Linked DNA regions of Cricetulus griseus. Each later gene encodes a partner of the first gene's protein in a complex. Links are inferred from orthologs where the notes say so. Each region holds a gene or a part of one and is shown in the gene's direction. Other genes may lie near its edges.

Region 1 (3,650 bases):
CTAAGATTGCAGGCATGTCCAACCATGTACATTACCTAGACAGAATTTTTAGCAGTTTTATGAACTGTGATTTTACCTGTGATAAAACAATTTAAATGTGCCCAGGAAAATATAGATTGTAGTGTTAATTTCATCTCCATTCCTTCCTTTTATTATGTCAGTTGCAGGAGGCAGGGCTTGGTGGCTGCTCTAGGCTGAAATATTTATTGTTTGCCACCTTCTGCATTTCTTTTCCATCATGAAGATAATGCCTAAGGCCAGCCTTTCCCAGTTCTCTCAATTATTCCTACAACAAGTAATTGCCTAGTGTGCACTTGTAATCAGCCCTTGTGAGGTGGAGGAAGGAAGACCAGAGGGCACCTGCTGACAAAGAGGCCTAACCTTAGTTCAAGCCTGAATTGATCCTCAAGATCCTTGTGAAAGGAGAGAATCGACTCCCTACAAGCTTTCCTCTGTCATCTACTTGCATTTATATACACACATGTAATTAAAAATTAAAAACAAACAGAATCAGGAATGGGCTAAGATTGTAGCTCTTTTGGTAGGTGCTTACCTGGGATCCAAGAAATCCTGGGTTCCATCTCCAGCCCCACATAACTCAATGTGATGGTTCACACCTGTACTTGCAGCATTTAGAAACGAAGGCAGAAGAATCAGGAGTTCAAGGCCATCCTCATTATGGAGTACATTTGAGGCTGAGCTAAAATACTAGAGACTTTTTTTTTTTTTCTTAGAAATTCCTGGGTAGTATAGCTGGCAAGTTTTCTGTGTGAGCCACCTGATTTCCCATGCTCAGGTAACTCTCATTAGTGGCCATCTCATGGATAGAAGCCAAATCTAGCTGGTTATTTTCATAGCTTAGCTGCTGGCCTTCCAGAGGTTTTAAGAACAAGGATAATAGGGGCTAGAGATCCCTCAGTGGTTAAGAACACTTGATGTTTTTGCAGAGAACCACATTCGGTTCCCAGCATCTACCTGGTGGCTGACTGTCACCTGTAACTCCCAATTTCAGGCATCTGCAGGCACTAGGCATGTATATGGTGCACATATGTGTATGCAAACAAAACATCCATATACATTATATAGATAAGAAATCAAAGGTAAGGAATCCTAGTCCTTATTTGTTGTTTTGGTTTCTTCTTGGCAATAGGAGAAGTTAAGGCTTCAAGGCCAAATAACAGAGGGAAGCAACATGATTAAAACAATTGCTTTTGGCCGCTATGAGCTGGATACTTGGTACCATTCTCCCTATCCTGAAGAATATGCACGACTGGGACGTCTCTACATGTGTGAATTCTGTTTAAAATACATGAAGAGCCAAACAATACTCCGCCGACACATGGTATGTTCTCTTGAGTTCCACTACTGTGACCATGGCCATGAGGGTGATGTTACTTGATTTCCCAATTATGTCCTAGAGATGACATAAGCGTACAAGAAATAACAGGTCCCAAGTGCCCATAGCAATGGAGTGGAGACTGAAGGAATTGAAAGTTACAATTCAGGTTTCCCTCCACCAGGACCAGTGCTGCTTGGCACCTTAACTACATCCTGTTCACATACATATTTTTTTTTCTTTTTCCTGTCTTTTGTTTCTTCCTCAGAATATGAATTACCTCTCCCTATAGTTTGTTTGTCCCAAATTCCAAGAAGATATGTATGTTTCATTAGATAAGACAGAAGAGTGTGGCTTATATTTTTGGTGGTGGGTATCTATGAAATGTGTGTTGAATGAATGCATGTATAAGGGAGATCCACTTTTAATGGATGATGAAAATAACAGAATTAATTGATAGTTTGTATCTCTGAATGTTCTTTGTATTAAAATAGGATGTACATACCTTGGTCTAGTAAATTAGGAGTATAAAAGCAAGACCAGAAAAGCAAACTTGTTCTCATTTCCATTGTGTCAGGTATAATCACTTGTAATCACTGAAATGACCTCTTTGGCTTGGCTAATGTTTTAAACAACTAGCTGTTGTGTTGGTTTGGCTATCATGGAAAGAACTAGCAGGAATAAGTGTAGCAGGGTTTTTTGGACTGCCAGTCCCCAAATCATGACACAGAGACTTATTAGTTATGAATGCTCGGCCTTAGTTTAGGCTTGTCCCACCAGTCTTATAACTTATTTTAACCTGTTTCTCTTCATCTCCGCTTTTGCCTCAGGGCTTTTTAGCTTTCATTCTGTATGTCCTACTTTTCCTGTTTTCTTCGTTTCTGGTTGACTGGTGGCTGGCCGGCCAGGCCCTGGTGTCTCCCTCTCTTTCTCCCTTGTTCTCTCTTCGGCCTAGATTCCTCCTCCTACTTATTCTCTCTGCCCACCAGCCCTGCCTATCCCTGTACTGCCTAGCTGTTGGTCCTTTAGCTTTTCATTAGGCCAATCACATGCCTTAGGCAGGCAAGGTAAAACAAATGCAACACATCTTTACGTAGTTAAACAGATATTCTGTTCCTCAACAACTAAGGGGAAGAGATAGGAGCATAGATGGATCTTTGAAAGAATTCCAGTTAATAAATTTTTTGAGTTACCTGCAAAAATTAGAACATGATAACAATGCCTTAAACACACTCATGCACACATTCAAGCATCTCTGTGCTAGGGAGGGAACACAGCCTCATACTTAGTGGGTAAGTAATGTACCATATACTGTACCACCGAGCTACATTCCCAAACCTGGAACATAATTCTTGGAGGGTGTGTATATGATTTTTGTTTGTTTCAGGTAGGGTCTTTAGCTCAGGCTAGTCTCAAACTTGTATCTGTTTTCCTATCTCTGTCTCTTGAGTACTGACACTACCAGTGTGGACCAACCAACCACTCTATCCAGTGCAACTTTATTCTTGACTTGTCAAAAAGATGTAGTATGTAGTAAATTGTTTAATTAGAATTTTTCTGTATGTGTGAACTTGTGTGTGCACATGTGCATACACACCATGGCATACATATGAAAATAAGAGAACGACTGTGGGAGTCAGTTCTCTTGCTGTGTTAGTTCTCAGAATTGATTTTGAGTCATCAGGCTTGGCAGCAAACACCTGTACCTGCTTGAAACCTTTCACTGGCAGTGTATGAGAACTTGGCTTGCTGCCTAAGATGCTGGGTACTAGCCCCAGCACCATTGATCAAACATTTTGAGAGTAAGAAAAGGGGGTTACTTTGGAGCTAAGTAGCTTCCTGCTACTTAGCCAGGCCTCCTACCTCTTAAAATGAGCCATGGAAGCGCTTTCTCTTTGTAACATATGGCAGGAGGTGGGCAGATAGTGAGTGGCTCATGGTCTTCATCATTGTAGATCTCTTTTGCAATCTGGTAGGATGGTAATGGGAAGTGACTGGTATAGGTGAGCATAACATACTTAGCAACACTAAGCTGCCAGAATAAGCTGCTTAAGAATTTCCTGTTGGCATGGGACATTTTATTGTAAGCAAGGATATTTTTATTTATCTGTCTTTTATGTTGTAGGTGATTTAATATCTTGGGCTGAGATAATGCCAAAAATAATCCAGAAAACTTGAGCCAAACAGCCATAGAAATGCCATAGATATATTGCAACAGCTAAGAAGGTTTTAACTTTTCTGAAAACAATCAGTTTCACTGTCCTCAAGTGTGTTCAACTGTCCATTAACTCAGTTAACCAATTTTGTTTGTTTT
Region 2 (3,650 bases), about 42 Mb from region 1:
GTTCCCAGCAGGAAATCTAGAGGAATTCAACCAATATAGAGGCCCTGGAAGGTGTAAGGCCGCCAGGAAGTGGTCTGATTTGCATTTCAAGAACATTGCTGAGGGATGGTTTTACTGTCCCTATGAAAGGCTGGGGGATGGGCAGAACCAGGCTGTGAAGAGAGATGGTGTCAGTCACAAGGAAAGAGGAATGTAAATGTACCCATGGGTCAATTGTGGGTGGAGGCCAGAGAGCAAGTCGTGGGGATGACTCCAGTTTTCAGCCACCCCATCCCCTGCTGGCTGGCTTTGTCTCCCCTTGCTCCATTAGACTGTCCCCACAAGGCCTAGCTAGGCCTCCTGCTGGTCTTAGTTGTCCCTTTATCCAGGAGGCCTTGCACCCTTCTAGTCTTGGGTCAGGGCCACCTGGTCCTGGGAGTACCTCATCAGAATCTCTGCCTTGCTGGGTGGCAGGCTGTGTAAAGAAAGATCCCCTGACGGTGTTGCTTTCGGTAAATTCCTCCCAGACAGTAGATAGTCTCTGAGCCAGGCTGGCGTGCAGGGTGGTGCATCCACCCTGTTGATGCTTATAGGCTGAACTGGGTCTTCTAGAATCTTCTTCACAACGAGTCTCAGAAAGGAAAGAAGGAAGGCCATACCTGACAGAAATCTGGTCATACTCCCTTGAGCTAAGAAGAGGGGTCATGCCAAGAAGTGGGGGTTCTGAATTAAAGGCCACCCCAGGCAGCTTAAGGACAGAGAGACTTAACTAAGGAAGACCTTGGTGGGAATTGGATTCAAGCTGAACAGCTATGGTCAGAAACATCTATCACTGTTTCTGGAAAGTTCCATATGAACCTAAAGGAAATGCCAGACCAAGGGAGTGTCTCCGGCAGTGCCCTGGTCAGCCCAGGGGTCCATGGTTGGTAGTCTGCACGCAGGTGCAAAGGACCCCTTTAAAAGACAGACTGCCGCCCACTCCTGCTCTCTTTCCCACTGTTCCCCTGGAGCAGACAGGACTTTTCCTGTCTCCCTCTTCTCTCTCTGCCTGTGTCTCTTTACCTCTTTTCTCCCTTCCCCCTTCCCTTTCCAATAAAACTTCTCACTAAGCTCTGTCTTGTTATGATAATGCTCATGGGGAACCTTGTGCGGAGGACCTTGGCAGATTCCATGGCAGTGGAAGTTGACTTGGGTAGAGGGACAAACATGCCAGGCAAACAGAGCTTAGTGAGAAATTTTATTAGAAAGGGCAAGGGGTTGGGGAGGGAGAACAGAGAGAGGTAAAGAGACAGAGAGAGGACAGAGAAGAGGGAGACAGGAAAAGTCCTGTCTGCCTCAGGGGAACAGCAGGAGAGTGGAAAAAGAGAGCATAAGTGGGCGGGGTTATGTCTTTCAAAGGGGTCCTTTGCACCTGCATGCAGACTATGGAACCCTGGACTGACCAGGGTACTGCCTGAGTGCATTCTGCCAGGTGTCAGGGGACAGGCCTGTATAATGCCTGAGCCCTTACACCTGTTTCTGGAGAGCTCCATATGAGCCCAAAGGAAATGCCACACCAAGGGAGTGTCTCAAGGGCTGAAGCCTGGCCTTGGCCCCAGAAGTGTATGAGAGAACGGTACCGGGCACTGACAGGTAGGTCCGCCTCAGATGCTTCCAGATAGCCTGAAGAATGTGTGCCTGTCCTATAGACTAGGCCAGATGGCTTCAGAGACTGCTACCTTTGTAAAGTAAGGCATTGTGTCACTGTGGGTGCAGGAGCATTGCAGGAGTGGCAGGGACCTGGCCCAGGTCCTGATGTGGCAGGTAGTCTTGGGAAAGCTATTCTGCCTGTGCTCATTTGAAAGTCTAGTGCTGCTGGTGCCTTGGGGCTGGGCGTTAATGGTGCTTATATCTGAAGAGTTGCTTTGCTGGGAAAGGCAGCTGTTGGACAAGCTGAGAGGGTTGCCAAGGTGAGAGAGACCACACTGCCCGTACACTCAGGGTTTGGGAGTGAAGTCTCAAATGTCTTGGGCAGAGGGGAAGTGGCGTCGGCGGCCCGTGTTCAAAGCACTGCTTTCTCCAGCAACAAGGCCCCTACGGATGGCCGATGTGAGATGGGTGTCAGTGAGTAAGGTGAGAAATCTCTCTTGTGTCTCCTCAGGTTAGGAACCTGTGCTACATGGTGACAAGGCGCGAGAGGACGAAGCACACCATCTGCAAACTCCAGGAGCAGATTTTCCACCTGCAGATGAAGCTTATGGAGCAAGATCTGTGTCGAGGTAGGCACGGTACATTCCCTGCTGGGAAGGTGTGTCTGTGGGGCCTGGAAGGGCCTGGGTCCCTTCTCACCACCATTGCACTCATCAGGTCCATGTGGGAACCTGTCAATGCCCTGGAGCCAGAGTTTGGACTGTGGCTTTCGAGCCTGCCCTCGGTGGCACCACTGGTTCCCTGGGATCGCCCAGTGGCTTAGCTTGCACGAGGACAGGTGCAGATGATACAGTTTTCCTGGCTCTGCTGGGTGGGCTCAACACAGGCAGAAGCTGGCTGTCTTCCCTGAACCCTGGTGTGCCTGGGGCTCAATCCTCAGAAAGGCAACTGCACAGAGATGAGGCTGTGTGTTTCCCTCTCTCTGGTCTCACGTGACAAAATTAAGCTGTGTTTTCTTTGTCCTCTTTCAGTCTCTGGCTATAACATGCATTTAGCACATCTAGAAATCAGGGGCAAAGGTCTTGACATTGATTGCATTGGATAGTTACGAAGGAGGACACGCTTGGCACCCCACATACAGATGCCATCACGCTCAGATGTTCAACATATGCAGCAGAAATGGATAGGTAGATAGAGCTTTGGAGATGTGGGCTGCCACTGCCCACTCAGCCTGTGGGTCATTCTGGGACTTGGGTGGAGGAGGAGGAGAGCTGTTGGGGGCACCATTAGAGGGAATGACTGCCGCCTTCTCTGCCAGTAGCTGAATTGCTCCTTTTACCCTTTGGGATTACCAGATGTGGTGGAGCATACCTGTGAACCCAGTGTGCAAGAGGTTGAGTTCAGGGTCAGCCGGTGCTACATCATGAGCTCCTTTCTTTTAAAAGAAATTTAAGCCAGGCATTGGTGGTGCTCATTTTCATCCCAGCACTCGGGAGGCAGAGGCAGGTGGATCTCTGTGAGTTCAAGACGAGCCTGGTCTACAAGAGCTAGTTCCAGGACAGCCTCCAAAGCCACAGAGAAACCCTGTCTCGAAAAACCAATAATAATTATAATAATAATAATAATAATAAAAGAAAGAAATTTTTAAAAAGGGGAAGAGAAGTTGGAGAGATGGCTCAGGAAGGGGTTAAGAGCACTGGCTGTTCTTTGAGAGGATCTGGATTCAATTGGTGGCACCCACATGGTGGCTCTCAACTGTCTGTACCTCCAGTTCCAAGGAATCTAGTGCCCTCTTCTGGCCCCTTAGGGGCTGGGACTATCGCTTATTTGATAGGGTGCTTGCCTAACATGCATGAATCCCTGGGTTTGATCCTCAGCACTACATAGAACCAGATGTTCTGGTGTACATCTGTAATCCTAGCACTTGGGAGGTAGAGGCAGAAGGATCGGGAGTTTTGGGTCATCCACAGCCACATAGCAGGTTCAAGACCATCCCTGACTAGGTAACAACTATTTTCTTTTGTTGTTTTTGGTTTTTCAAG

Evidence for each region.
Region 2: Kat7 (region 1) and Jade2 share a complex: the UniProt entries of both Homo sapiens proteins name them as parts of the HBO1 complex. The link is inferred for Cricetulus griseus from reciprocal best matches to the Homo sapiens genes KAT7 and JADE2.

Annotation. Positions count from the first base shown.
Region 1 is NC_048600.1:108,461,372-108,465,021, reverse strand, and holds part of Kat7 (histone acetyltransferase KAT7), read left to right. Parts: intron 1-1,150; coding exon 1,151-1,342; intron 1,343-3,650. UniProt on the Homo sapiens protein: Catalytic subunit of histone acetyltransferase HBO1 complexes, which specifically mediate acetylation of histone H3 at 'Lys-14' (H3K14ac), thereby regulating various processes, such as gene transcription, protein ubiquitination, immune regulation, stem cell pluripotent and self-renewal maintenance and embryonic development.
Region 2 is NC_048600.1:66,088,662-66,092,311, reverse strand, and holds part of Jade2 (E3 ubiquitin-protein ligase Jade-2), read left to right. Parts: intron 1-2,119; coding exon 2,120-2,237; intron 2,238-3,650. UniProt on the Homo sapiens protein: Scaffold subunit of some HBO1 complexes, which have a histone H4 acetyltransferase activity. Acts as an E3 ubiquitin-protein ligase mediating the ubiquitination and subsequent proteasomal degradation of target protein histone demethylase KDM1A.